Elephas maximus indicus: one gene and its partner. The protein of the gene in region 2 purifies or fractionates together with the protein of the main gene of each other region. This does not show direct contact. Links are inferred from orthologs where the notes say so. Each region holds a gene or a part of one and is shown on either strand. Other genes may lie near its edges.

The links. Proteins that work in one complex are often made in the same cells at the same time.
Region 1: the proteins of CUL4A (region 2) and WDR5 purify together in Homo sapiens (affinity purification with western blotting; 4 studies listed by BioGRID and IntAct, with this or other methods). This does not show direct contact. The link is inferred for Elephas maximus indicus from reciprocal best matches to the Homo sapiens genes CUL4A and WDR5.

The regions. Positions count from the first base shown.
Region 1 is NC_064827.1:4,450,950-4,458,195, reverse strand, and holds the start of WDR5 (WD repeat-containing protein 5), read left to right. Parts: upstream 1-2,399; 5' UTR 2,400-2,511; intron 2,512-5,710; exon of another isoform or gene 5,711-5,752; 5' UTR 5,753-5,811; coding exon 5,812-5,892; intron 5,893-6,870; coding exon 6,871-6,979; intron 6,980-7,246.
Region 2 is NC_064841.1:79,609,328-79,616,573, reverse strand, and holds the start of CUL4A (cullin-4A), read right to left. Parts: upstream 4,160-7,246; 5' UTR 4,079-4,159; coding exon 3,922-4,078; intron 2,318-3,921; coding exon 2,202-2,317; intron 2,056-2,201; exon of another isoform or gene 1,969-2,055; coding exon of another isoform or gene 1,909-1,968; intron 1-1,908. Other genes in the region: PCID2 (PCI domain-containing protein 2), read left to right, coding at 6,055-6,090. UniProt on the Homo sapiens protein: Core component of multiple cullin-RING-based E3 ubiquitin-protein ligase complexes which mediate the ubiquitination of target proteins. As a scaffold protein may contribute to catalysis through positioning of the substrate and the ubiquitin-conjugating enzyme.

The DNA of each region.
Region 1 (7,246 bases), on a different chromosome or scaffold from region 2:
CCCTTTCTCCAACTGCTCCTCCCCCTCCCTCCCCCTTCTCCCCTCCCTCCCCCTCCCTTCCCCCTTTCTCCCACTGCTCCTCCCCCTCCTCCTTCCTGTCTTCCTCCCACTCCCACCAGCTCAGATGGCACCAGGAGACTTTAGACCAGGATTTCTATGAAGAGATGAGGGTTTCTACTGGGGAGGAACTGGGAGCGATGCAAACACAGCCAGGGTCACTCACCAGGTTTGGGGATCAGGGGAGGAGGCCCCAGGGGACGTTGGCTGGAGGGGGTGTCATGAGGAGAAGGGGAGCCTGGTGGAGGGACCTGGAGAGGGAGGTGCCCAGGCTGGCTCACACCACCCCTTGCATGGGGGTAAGGAGCAGCTTTCTAGAAATGTTGGCTGTAAAAATTTGTTCTTGGAAACAGTTTCCTTCACCAATTCACCCCGGTGGCCCAAGCAGTTAGTATTCTGGAAAAAACCACTCGAGCATGGTTTCCCCTTTTCTTTAGTTCACACTCTCTTCGGCTTCCACTACTGATTTTTCTGAGCGTGACAAATTTTTGGGAAGGATATAAAGGGGTTTAAAACAGATAATAAAGCAAATTACTTGTTTTTGTTAAGCGGCTTTTCCTGCTGGCTATCCGGTTTCCGGATTTCAGCTCTGCAGGGAGGATTTTCTTTTTCACCAGAAGGTTCTACCTCCTGGGGGAGGGCGGGGCCAGGCCCATTTACCTGGGAGTGGAAGTTGGGAAACTGAGTTAACAGATTTGAGTTCTGTGACTTCTGGGGTCAGGACCCTCATCCCACTCTGCCAGGAGGGCTGGGGACTGGAAGTAATTTCTATCTGGGGCTGGAACCTGGGGTGCACAGTTTGGGGGTGGCACTAGGCTGGAGGGAGAGGGAGGGTCTGGTAAACCGTCAACAGAGTTTGGCTTTTGATCTGAGGGCCCTGGGAAGCTATTTCTAAACCTTAGACTGGGGAGAGACAGACCAGAGCTGGAGTTTTCCTATGGCGTGCTGTGTAGAGGTTTGGGAAGGGTAGCATAGTGGTCACTCTGAGATGATGAGGCTGGCATGGAGAGGAGTGGGTGGACCTGAGGACTGAGAGGTATGGGGGGGAATCCAGGGTGGGCTCAGGTGTCCGTCCAGGCCACCAGGTGGCTGGAGATGCCCATCTTAGGCCACCAGGTGGCTGGAGATGCCCATCTTCACCTCTTAGCTGGTTTTGTTAACATTGGAGCATCCCGGCATTTGGCTCCAAGGCACCTGGACCAAGGGTGACCGGGCCTGCTGGACACACAGATCCACGTGAACTATGGCCTTGCCACCCTGTGTCCTCTCTGGGAGAGGGCTCCAGATTGGCTGCCACTCTTCAGCTGTCGTTATCCATGACAGCCACACATCTCACCTTCCGTGGGCGGTTGGTTCCACTTCTAATGCATGGTCCCTTTGTTTGCTCAGGTACCTTGTCCTATTAATTGGAAAATAAGAGTTTGTCTGCCACTCTACCCACAGACCTGGGCAGGGGCGGTGGAGCTGCAGGAGCCAGGGCCACCTCCAAGAGTCTAAGGCCCATGTGGTTTGCAGAAGTGGGGCAGTGGGCTGCGGCTGCTCGTGGATGGAGCAGAACACTGGACCCCAGGTTCTCCTCCTGCCCCTCACTCCTCTCTGAGCCTCACCTGCCCGTCTGTGATGGAGGTGAACACCTGCCTGGGGGCCCCACCAGGGAGGGGCTGTGAAACCAGTTTGCATGCAGTAATTACGAGCATTGTATTCATCACACAACGCTGGGAGGGAAGAAGGTGTGGTGAGCTTGGGGAAGAGCTGGCGCTGGAAGGACTCTCAGCCCCTCGGGCGGAGTCCGGGGACTGAGCCCCAGGTCTTGTAAGCGGAAGGCGTGCGCACCTGTCCGCCTGATGTGTGAGGGTTCACTGAGGCGTTGCGCGGGCTAGCTGCAGATGCTGTCACAGCCAACTGCTGCGACCAGTGGTGTGAGCGTTAATGAAGAATTGATGCCCCAACCGGGCCACCGATTCCGAGGAGAAACGTTGGGCAACTTCCCCTCCTCAGAATCCCCGGGGAACGCCCTGTCCCAGGATGTGGGTGTCGGCTGCAGGGCTGCTCACAAAATTCAAGGGATACAATAGTACATCCCTGTATGTATATTACACTAAAAAAAATCTTTAAAAAGTGCGGGAGAGGCGGGCCCGCACCAGCCAACTTCTGGAGTTGAACGCTTTGGATCAGGAAGCGAGCGCAGCGCCCGGCCCCTTTAAGGCGTTCGGCTGGCCGAGGCCTTCTGCCCCTTGCCGCTCTCCGTAGCGCTCCTCAGAGAGGCCAGCTTTGTGCGTTGGCCCCGCCTCCGGGGCACCGCCCCCTCTCCTCGCGCACGCGCACTGGCAGGGGCCCCCCCCACGCCGCTTGGCGCCCGCCGGACCTGCCGCCTCGTCGAGCTTGGCCCGCGCTGCCGCCCAGGTGGCGGCCGACGCGACGCCCGGCTCCCGGCCCCGCCGCTGCGGCCCAGAGGTAAGCGCCGGCCCGCGGGCCGCAGCGGGGTGGGTGGGCGCGACCCGGCTTCGCCCCCAAACCGTCTCCGGCCGCCGCACGTGTTCCCCGCCAGGCCGGCGCCCCGGGCCTCGGCCCCCGTGGCAGCTCCTTCCCGCGGACCCCAAACCGCCGCCGGCGGGCCCGGGCCCTCCTCGTGCAGACGCCCTCCGTGAGGGCCACCTTCCGCGCCTCCCCAGCCCCCAGCCCCCAGCCGGTGCCCCCTTCGCCCTCCTCCCGGCTCAGGCTCCCCGCCCGTCCCCGTTGCCCCATCTGGCGGCCCCGCCCTGGGTGTCCTGCCCCCCATCCCAGGGGTACCCCCCACACCCCCATTGATTGCAGGTGCCCCTCCCCGGCCCATGTCCCAGTCTCCCCGGAACTTCTCTCTCCGCAGCGGTCACATGACAAGACCAAAGCCCCAGGGGTTGGGACGCCCCTCCCAACCCCCAGCCAGCGTGCACATCGCCCCCTTCCCCTGCATTTCTTCAGAGAGACCCCAGGCCGGTCTGTCCCACATGTGGTCCACGCAGACACTGGCTGAATGCAGACAGGGTTGAGCTCCCCTCTTCTGTAGACATGACCCCTGTTTTCCACCCACCCTGCCCCTGCTGGTTACTCCTGAGCTGCCAGACCCCGTCTCGCCTAAGAGCCTAGAGCCCCGGGTTGGGGTCACTGTGGTGTGAGTCCACCCTCAGGAAGGGAGAAGCCACCGGCCCTCCTGTGGTGGAACCTCAGACCACGCCTGGTCTGGTCTTTGAAAGCCATTTGGGGATATTTTAAAAGATACCCCTTAACCACCTTTGCTGTGCAAGCCTTTACCCACCCAGGTCTTTTCACCAATTCTCTTAAAGAAATGTTGCTGTCCAGTTGATGCCAACTCATAACGACCCTATAGGACATGGTAGAACTGCCCCATAGGGTTTCCAAGGAGTGGCTGGTGGATTCGAGCTGCTCGCCTTGTGGTTAGCAGTCTGAGCTCTTAACCACTGCGCCACCAGGGCTCCAATTCTCGTCAACAAACGTTTTAAAGCTTTGAATCGGGCGGTACTGCACTAGACCTTGCCTCTGAGCTTGGCCCCTAAGGAAGGCAGACAGGTAAGTGGGGAGCAGAAGTATGTCCAAGAGCTGAGGTAGCAGAGAGCTGTTCCTGCCACGACTGCTGCAGGACGGGCTGCCTGAGCTCACCTGGGCGTGTGCACAGAGAAATAGGTGGCCTCTGAGTTCCCACGTCTGGATGGAGCCCAGGAACCTGTGTTTTACCAGAGTCTAGGAAAGCGCTCAAGTTTGGGAGGCTCTGCCTTAGGTGTCAGGCTCACTGGGATCAAAGGCCTGTGGGTGCCTAGAGGGGCGGGAGCTCTGGAGGCAACGTCCAGGTTGCCCTCCGGGTGTGTATTCACCTTCTTGTACCCTGCCTTTTTATTGGTTTGGCCCCTAACCAGCTCCCTGTTCCCTCAAAATAATCCTTTCTCCAAATGTGACCACAGACCTGTCTAAGTGTCTGTGAAGAATGCAGCTGCGGGCGTAGACCCCACCCAGCAAAGCAGAGTCTTGGGGTGCTGAGTCAAGAAATCCATATTCTTAAAGGTCCTTCTCTGCATAGGGTTTTTTTTGCATGTTAATGTTTGAAGGCTGGGCTTGCGCTGGGTGGGGGGTAAGACCACCTACTTTTGCACAAGGGTTTTTTTGCATGTTAATGTTGGAAGGCTGGGCTTGTGCTGGGTGGGGGGTAAGACCACCTACTTCAGCCTTTTGTTCCTCTTGGGCAGCCAATTGGCCGTAGTCACGCCCTGCCTCTAGGCCAGGCTGTTTATGCTAAAAGAACACTTCTGGCCCTTGAGCTGCCCTTTTGTGGAGCCTTTGCCACTGGTGTCCCACCTGGGGCAGGGGCACCAGCCACTTCTCAGCCCTGTGCTGTGATCTGGGCGTCCTTGGATGCATCTGCAGCAGGCTTCCCAGCAGAAGAGAGCTTCGTGCCCGTTGGCTTTGCCCAGTGGGTGTTCCTGGGTAAACTTTCTCCCCTTGGATGAAGACTTTGGGACTTTGTCCTTTTTGATGGGTTCCATTTCGCCTGAAGCTTCAAGCTAGAAGGTACAGTGTGTGAACACACCAGGTGAATGGTAGTGCCAGCTTAGGGGGTTGAATGGCCAGTGACATTTGCAGGAAAGGCTTAGTGGCTCTCCTTTTTAACAGCGGTTTCCCTCATTTCTGGATAACCTGGTGTGGTTTCATGAGAGGTATCCAGTAACGGAGGAGCTCTGGTGGTGCAGTGGTTAAGGGCTTGGCTGCTAACCGAAAGTTAAGTGGTTCAAACCCACCAGCCACCCCCTAGGGTAAAGACGTGGCAGCTTGCTTCCTTAAAGGTTACAGCCTTGGAAACGCTACGGGGCAGTTCGGCTCTGTCCTCTGGGGTTGCTGTGAGTTGGACTCGACTCGTCTGCAACAGGTTTGATTTTGGTTTTATCCAGTAATGGAATGTGCTGCTGTGACAGGAGACTGATGGCTTACTGCACAGGTTTGGGGTGTTTCCCACTGTCGAGCGGACCCTGGCTGAGCTGCAGTCTCTTCCCTCCTCTGCAGTGAGTCTGGCTGCGGGGTCAGTGCCCAGCTTAGGCTCCTTGCAGCTTGCAGGGCAGGCCCTGGGTCACGCTTCAGCTGTGTGCTGAGTTTCCTCACCTGTTGGCGATCTGGAAGCAGCCTGTGCGGTGAGCCCTTGAGCCCACCCTGAGGTGCGGGAGCCCTGGGTGTGCTCACGCCTGCGTCCCCACTCGGGGTGCGTTTTAGGATCTGGATGAGTTGTCACCTTCCGCACCCTGACGCTGAGTCCCCTGTCCTTTGGCACGTTAGTTTTCTGTCAGGAAACCTTTGGGTCTTTTTCTTAACGTATCAAGGGGTCTTTGAAGAAAATTGCATTTTGTGTGGATCAAGCTGCCTTCCTGCCAACGTCTGGGTAACAAAATAGGCAGCCCCGTGCAGCATGGTGACTTTGATTACGGGAAAGGGTGAGGGCAGCGCTGTCTCGCCCAGCATCTGCAGAGCGTTAGTGTGGCCCGAGTCTACTAGTCAGGCTCCCCAGCTCGGAACAGGCTATTTGCTGCCAGGGTCAGTGTGGTGGCCAGGCATTTTTCGTCTTGGTCCTTTGTCCTGGATATTAGCTTTTAAAATGGTTTGTTCATTGGCCTAGGTTCCCCCCGATAGGCTTTGGTAAGCAGACGCCTCTTTCCAGCCTGACTCTTCTGCTCAGAGCTGTGCACCCCGTCCCCCTGCCTGGTGGGCTGCGGAGCCATGGCAACGGAGGAGAAGAAGCCGGAGACCGAAGCTGCCAGGGCACAGCCGACCCCTTCGTCGTCGGCCACTCAGAGCAAGGTGTGTGCAGAGCACTCCTTGGGGGGCTTCTGGGGGAGTATCTGTTTAAAGAGCCTTGGAATATTATTCACGCCCGTAAGTTTATTCTCCGTGCCCAGCTAGATAACGCTGTCAGGTTCTACTGCCTGAGCACGTGCCCGAGGGGTGCTTATGCACCACAGTGGGTTCCCAAACCCATCACCCGGGCAGGAGCTTTATCAGCAATGTAGATGCTTGGTCCTGAGTGTAAGACTCTGAGAGTGAGACCCAGGAGACATCTTTCTGTGAGCCCCCCACCTGGCCCCAGAATCCCAGTGCCCAGCCAGGCCTGCGTGCCCCTCCTGTAGACGACAGGAAGCAAGCAGACCTTTCACCCAGGTAGTGAGGCTCAGATTTGCTTTGGGGAGGCTGGACTTTGGACGGGAGAGGGTGCTGAAGCAAGACCAGAGGTGTGGGGACTCCTTCGATACAGCAGCGTCCCGGTGACGTGACCAGTAGAAAATGGGGTAGTGTGGGGCCTTCAGGTGGCCTCAGACCTTTCTAGCGTGGATGGTGGAACCAGAGGACAGGTGGGGAAGGCAGGAGAAGTAGGTTTGTTTGTGGGGGGGTAGCGGCGTAGTGGTTAAAGCACTTGGCTGCTGACCGAAATGTTGGCAGTTCAAACCCACCAGCCACTGCACAAGACAAAGATGTGGCAGTCAGCTTCTGTAACGACTGCAGCCTTAGAAACTCTACGGGACAGCTCTACTCTGTCCATAGCATCAGTGTGAGTCGGAATCGACTCTGCCAGCACCCAGCAACAATGAGTTTGGACACATTCTAAGTTGAGTGGTGATATCCAGGTAGAGCTTTCCAGGGGCTCTGGGAATACGGATTTGGAAATGAGTCTGAGTTTGAATTAAAGCTTTGGAAATCAGATCCAAGCCAGTAAGCCACTGAGTCACTGAGTGGACGATCGTGTCGCGTTATGCAAACATTGATGTTGCCCATTTCTGATAGCCTACACCTGTCAAACCAAACTACGCTCTGAAGTTCACCTTGGCTGGCCACACAAAAGCCGTGTCCTCCGTGAAGTTCAGTCCCAATGGAGAATGGCTGGCCAGTTCCTGTGAGTACCCCTGCGCTCCTGCCAGCTGCTGGGAGGAGTAGGTTGAGCTGCCGACAAGCATTGGGGAGCGCCTGGACGGGTTTTTTTCCTGACCCTGTTGCTGGGTCACTTGAGCCAGCTGTGTGTCCCTCACTGTGACTGAAAGCGTTACCACCTGCTAAAGTAGAGCCTGCTGCTGCTCCTAAAGGGGGTGCGGGGGAGAGGGCACTGCAGCTGATGCCCCAAGGGCAGCAGGCTCGGTACTGTGTGTCCTGGACTTCTCAGCCT
Region 2 (7,246 bases):
GAAACGAAAGACAGTGATCTCTGAGAGATGGGAAACAAACAAAAACCCTATTTTTGACAAAAGTGCAAAGGCAGTTTAGTGGGGAAAGGACAGCCTTTTCAACGGATTGTACTGTAACAACTGAACATCTACACAGAAAAAATTGAACCTGAATTTATACCTCATGTCTGGAAGGAAATAAGAGAAAATCTTTGTGACCTTGGAACGGGCAAAGAATTCTTAGATACTAAAAGCACAATCCATAGAAGAACAAATTGGTACATTTGACTTAATCAAAATTAAAGACTACTGCTCTTCAAGAGCCACTGTTAGAGAATCCAAAGACAAGCCACAGCCTGGGAGAAAATATTTACAAGGGAAACATTTGATACAGAACTTGTACCTAGAAAGTACCGAGAATTCTCAAAAATCAAAAATTAGAAATAAACAACTCAAAAAATGGGCAAGAGATCTTAACAGACACTTCATGAAGATATATGGATGACAAATGAGCACATGAAAGATGCTTACTATCATCAGTCACCAGGAAAATGCAAATTAAAACCACAAAGAGATCGCACTATATACTTTCTAGAGCACTAAAGTTAAAATAGACTGACAATACCAAATGCTGGCAAGGACGTGCGGCAACTGGCACTCTCACCTACTGCTGGTAGAACGCAAAGTGGTGCCCCCAGTTTGAAGACGGGAAATTTCTGATAAAGTTAAACAACATGTATTTTCCATATGACCCTACAATCCCACTTCTAGGTTTTTACCTAGAATAAAAACATATGCCCACGCAAAGATTTATTCACTACTGTTCACAGTAGCTTTATTCACAACAGTAAAAAAACAGAAACCAAATATCCATTAAGCGGTAATGAACAAGCCAATTGTGGTATATCTATACAGTGGACTACTACTGAGCAATGAAAAGAAATTACTGCCATACAACGTGAATGAATCTCAAAAGCATTATCCTAAGAAACCAGATAAAAAGCATTATAAAATGCATGATTACATTTAGATGAGATATAAATAAAAAAAAATTTTTTTTTTTTTTTTTGAGATATAGAAGTGGTAAAAATACAGTGAGAAATTGCAGATGGTTGGCAGTCAGGGACAGGACTGAACGCAAGGGGCCTCAGAGAAGTTGTGGGATGGAAATATTGCCCGTCTTGATGGTGGTGGTTACACGGCTGTATACATTTACTAAAGCTTACTGAACTATGTACACTTAATGAAAAAATTTTATTATGTGTAAATTACATTTCAATAAAGCTGATTAAAAACATCATAAACACATACAGGAAGACAAACTATTTACTATGTCCATGAAAATGTCAGCAGTAACCTTCTTTGACTGGTGGGAGCATAGGTAATTTTTGCTTTGTATTTTCCATAATTTTTATAATCCAATCACTCACATCATCTGAAAAAAAGGTAACTTTAAAAATGCAAGCCTTTTTAATGGAAATAATTGTGTGATATGATATTGTAGCCTAAAACGTAGCCGCTATTAGTTAATGAATGTTATTCTTTAAAAAATCAGAAAAACCAGTCAGGTTGTAAATGAAAAATTCAAATAAAATGTTCTTTTAACCATTTTCTTCCTTGAAAAATGGAATTTCATTACTTCATATTAAACATAAAATGTGTTTACAGAACTTCATTTCAGCAATTAATCACAAAACACAATGAAGCGAGAAATCTATATTAACAAGAAAAACAATTAAGAATTTCATAAACATAATGTGATAATAATAATTTGCTACGTATTTGGAAATTACTAGAATCGTATGGCTCTGAAAAACATCCCACCTTATTCTTGCAATGTGATAACTAAAATCTTCCCAGGCAGCTTAAGCCTGAAAACAAAATAAAAACCCAATAAGAACCAATGAACAAAAACACACCAGGACCCACTTTCACAGGACTCCTGTTGTTCCTGTTTGAGGCAAACATACTGAGACATTCTGGATTCATATTCTGTCACTGCTGACTCTCTTAAAGTGGAATGTAGAATCTTCACCTGTATCACATTTCACAGGAACTGGGCGATGCGTTTAAACAACTAGAGAGACAACCAGGTAACTGTAATGACAAGATGTCAACCAAATCAAGTTCTGAGGAACTTCTCCAGGTCTAAGAAAATTCCACATTCACGTCTCAACAGAAATTCTAGCAAACTCTACAGTTTACTACATTTGGACCCTTACCTGGTAGAGCTCTTCGAGGTTGTATTTAATGGAGGTACTACTTTGTATGGCTTTCACTGCCTCATGAAGCTTGTGCCATGTATCCTGAGTGTAATTATCCGGCAGTTTAGGTCTGTCTGTAAATTCAGAAAGAGAATCAGTGGAGAAGGGCTGCCACAGGACAGTAACACATCTTCTAAAATGTTCTCAAAGAAAAATACTTAAAAGCAGAAAAAACAGGAAAATCAAGTTTTCCAAATTCAAAGTATTGCATTTATAAATTCCTTGGGTTATGGACTAAGCAACGGTAACATCTTTATTTCAATACTTAGTACTAATAGTTAGTTAGGATGAATACTTCAAATTTACACATCTTAGTTTCCTTAACAAGTTGACATCAGAACATTATAAACGTGGCACAGTTAAGCTCTACGCAATTTTAAATTGATATAAATTATCTAACATTGGAAGGTAAAGAGTAAGCTTGTAATTGTATATACCCGCATCAAAGATGCTTATTTTGAGATATTATCCAAGATAGAGGTGGTAAGAGGTGGAGGAAGTAACAGAAAGTACAGTGACGCGCGCAGTAGTGGCTTATTCTGGTTCAGCTGTGCCAATCACCATACATTATTTATCTAATTTATGATTTTTCTATCAATTGCATAGAGTCATGAGAACAAAACACTGCTACAAAGAAGACCTGATATGGTATAAATCTCCAATGTCCCATATTTAGGGCGGTCAGGTGAAGTTTAAAAAGTCCGTGTGTACACACTTAACGGACGATCCCTATTTCTGCAGGGTCTGCGTCCTGAGGCGCACAGTGCTGAGCTCCGGGTACGCGCCCTGAGTCAGGAGGCTAAACTGCCGACTCACTGGGCCTCTTTCTTTCTATCTTAGGGGAGGGATGTGCCGTCCTAGTCTCGCACAAGATTTCAAACCTCCCTGAACTCGGTACCGGGAAAGGTGTACGGAGTCCAAAAGTCCCTGGGAACTGGACCAAAGTGATGTCCACGTTACACAGAGATCTCACGAGGCAGCACAGACTAGAAAGCTAGCCGGCGGCCGACAGAAGGCCGAGACGCAGAGGGCAGGCCCGGCGGGACCCCGAAGCACCGCGGCGGCTCTGGGTCCCCGACCCCGCAGGGTCCAGCGCGGCCGAGGTCGGCGCAGGTCAGCGCGGCGCGTGCGCAGGGAGGCCGACCCGCGCCCCTTCCCCATTGGCCGTCGCCGCTCCGACGTCCGCGCCGCGCGGCCCCACGCACCCGCCGCCGGCGGGGGGCGCAGGAAGTCGCTCGGCCGCCCCTTCCTCCCGGGACCGCCGCGGCCGGCCGTCGCCCCGCGCCCCGGCCCGTCGCCATGCGCCCTTGTCCGTAGTCCTGCGCCCCGGCCCGTCGCCCCGAGCCCTCGTCCGCCGCCCCGCCGCCCCGCGCCCCGGCCCGCCGCCCCGCGCCCTCGTCCGTCGCCCCGCACCCTGGCCCGTCGCCCCGCGCCCCGGCCCGTCGCCCCGCACCGTCGCCATGCGCCCTCGTCCGTCGCCCCGCGCCCCGCACCGTCGCCATGCGCCCTCGTCCGTCGCCCCGCGCCCCGCGCCCCGGCCCGTCGCCCCGGCGGGACGTGCTGGCCCGGCCGCTGTGTCCGCCAGCCCCCGGGGCCGCGCGGGGCAGGCCCGTCCCGAGGCCGTTTCGGCTCCGCCGCCCCTCCCCCAGCCCGGGCGCGCTCGCCCTCACGCACCTACCTCGGAAATTTTTGATCACTAATTTCTTGGAGCCGCTGCCGCCCCCAGGTTTGGTGGTGACGGCGGCGGCGGCTGCCAGGGAGGCAGGTTTCGTGAGGCCATTGGTGTGCCCGACGAGAGCCGAAAAGTTTCCCTTTTTGGGGGTCTCGTCTGCCATGTCTACTGCCGAGAAAACAAACCGGCGGCGGCCGCTCCGCCCCACCCCCGCCCTCGGCCTGTTCCCGCCTCCAGTCGCGGCCCGGCCGCGCTTCCTCCTCCTCCTCCTCCTCCTCCTGCCCCGGCCTGCTCTCCCCGCCTCCTTCTCCGCCCCTGCCCGGTGCCCCGGCCCCTCCGGGGTGCGAGCTAGGCCTCGCCGGCGGCCGCGGAGCGAAGGGAGTCCCGGGAGCCTCCGCCGAGAGCGCGCCCGGGGCCGCCGCCCCGCTCGTCCCTCGCCGGCCGTCCCTTCTCCCAGATAAAAGTTCTCCGCGCCCGCACGGCCGCCCGCTGGAAGCCTGCGCCCGCGCGCCGTAAACACCGCCGCCGGCCGGAGCCGGAACCCGGCCTCCTCTCCGCCCCCGCCAGCGGCCTCCACTTCCCGGGGCCCGCCCCCTGCCCCGGCCCGGGCCGCGGGACTCCGCCTCGGGAAGGGGGCCGGGGCCGCGCGAGCCGCGGCACCGCCGGGCCTTCCACGAGCTTGCTCCCAACCGCCGATTCGCGCCTGGTCCCCTGTTCGATCCCGGGTCCCCCGCCCCACGGCGCAGCGCCCTGGACTCGGGGCCGGCTCTTCATGGCTGTCCCCATCTCGGTCCGCCAGTGGCGCGGCCCTTTGCGGGCGGAAGCTCGTACGGAGAGGCCGAGGGGCCCCGGAGCGGCCGGACCCCCGGGACCCCCAGGAGCCCCCGCCCTCGTTACGGGCCCGCGGGGTCGCGCTGCCAGCGGGATGGACACCGGCCGCTGCCACCGCGCGTGCGCGGCCCGGGGCGCCGAGGACCAGGGCGGTCGGGGGAAGGGTGTGTAGACACGGTCCCGTCCCCGTCGGCGGTGGGATTTTTCCTTTGAACACGCAGGAGCCGAGGGTATCGCGCGGCAGCGAGGCCATGAGGCTGTTCTCCGCCGAGAAACGGCAACCCTCGGCTCCCCAGGGACTCCCATGAAAACCCCCATTGCCCCAGTCTGTGGTCCTGCGCCTGCCGGTGGAACCAAACAAAAACCGAGAACGCGAGCGAGGGAGCTGCCTCGCTGAGAGCTGGCGAGAGGAAGTCCGCCGGGAAGGCACCTCAGCCTCCTCCCTGGGCCTCCTCCCTGAGCATCCCTCAGCCTCCTCCCTGAGCATCCCTCAGCCTCCTCCCTGGGCCTCCTCCCTCTCAGCCTCCTCCCTGAGCATCCCTCAGCCTCCTCCCTGAGCATCCTTCAGCCTCCTCCCTGGGCCTCCTCCCTCTCAGCCTCCTCCCTGGGCCTCCTCCCTGAGCATCCCTCAGCCTCCTCCCTGAGCATCCCTCAGCCTCCTCCCTGAGCATCCCTCAGCCTCCTCCCTGGGCCTCCTCCCTCTCAGCCTCCTCCCTGGGCCTCCTCCCTCTCAGCCTCCTCCCTGGGCCTCCTCTCTGAGCCTCCTCCCTGAGCATCCCTCAGCCTCCTCCCTGGGCCTCCTCCCTCTCAGCCTCCTCCCTGGGCCTCCTCCCTCTCAGCCTCCTCCCTGGGCCTCCTCCCTCTCAGCCTCCTCCCTGAGCATCCCTCAGCCTCCTCCCTGGGCCTCCTCCCTCAGCCTCCTCCCTGAGCATCCCTCAGCCTCCTCCCTGGGCCTCCTCCCTCAGCCTCCTCCCTGAGCATCCCTCAGCCTCCTCCCTGAACCTCCTCCCTGGGCCTCCCCCCTGAGCCTCCCTCTCAGCCTCCTCCCTGGGCCTCCTCCCTCTCAGCCTCCCCGCTGAGCCTCCCCCCTGAGCCTCCTCCCTGAGCATCCCTCAGCCGCCTCCCTCAGCCCACGGTGGAAGAGGGCCGGCCCCCCGGGAGCGCCCCCTCCCAGCGACCCCGAGAGGAAGGCGTGGCCGGGCGGCGGGCGCGCGCTCCGCCGCTGGGCCGGAAGTGACGTCAGCGCGCGGGCGGAAGTGGGAGAGGCTGGTGTCGGCCAGACTGAGCGCAGGACTGGCCGCCGCTTCCATGGCGCACATCACCATCAACCAGTACTTGCAGCAGGTAATTTCTTCGCTGGGGGAGGACCAGTGGCAGTGCGCGGGCGCCCCCGGCCGCTGTCGCCGTTGTGTTCCGTTCTCTTGAGGTCTGTGACTGCTTCCCTGCCCGTTGCTCCGTTGGCTCCTGGGCTTTACTGATGGGCGGCGGTGACATGGGTGTCCTGGGAGGGATTCGAACCGAGAGTCGACGTCACAGCCTTTCCTGCATTAGTGTGAAGCGACAGGGCTGGGGTGCGGACATACGGTACCCAGACACAGCTTCACGGTCTGCTGGGCAGGTCACCTAGTGTTTGCTGAGTATTTCTGAGCTCTTGTGTGCAAGATGGGAATTAATCATGGTTTGGGTATATAGACTTACTGGATTTGCTGGGAATTCAGGGAGGAACCAAATGGTCGGTGCTTTCGATTTAGGGATGCGGGGGGCTGCGGCGGGAGAGGCGTGGGTTCTCGTGGGCCTTGAAGAGCCTGTAAGCGACGCCGAGAAGTTTGGATTTAGCCCTTGGGCAGCCATTGAAGTCTTAACCAAGGGTCTGGTTTAGTCCCATTTTTGTTTCGAATAGGCACTGGTGGAAATGTGAAGTGATGAATTTGAGGTAATTCAAATAGGAGATGGAGCTAGCAACTATGCGACTGTTGTAGTCCTAGTGCTAGCCAATATTTAGTCATAGTTACTACCATACTGATGAAGAGCAAAGACTACAGCCTTAAGTATGGATTACACCTCAACATAAAGAAAACAAAAATCCTCACAACTGGACTAATAAGCAACATGGTGATAAATGGAGAAAATATTGAAGTTGTCAAGGATTTCGTTTTTTCTTGGATCCACAATCAGCGCCAATGGAAGCAGCAGTCAAGAAATCAAATGACCTATTGCATCGGGGAAATCTGCTGCGGAAGACCTCTTTAAAGTGTTAAAGGGCAAAGATATCACTTTGAGGAATAAGACATGATATTTTCACTTGCCTCATGTGCGTGCTAAAGCTGGACAATGAATAAGGAAGACCAAAGAAGAATCGATGGCTTTGAATTATGGTGTTGGCAAAGAATGTTGAATATACCATGGACTACCAGAAGAATGAACAAATCTGTCTTGAAAGAAGTACAGCCAGCATGCTCCTTAGAAGTGAGGATGGTGAGGCTCTGTCTCACATACTTTG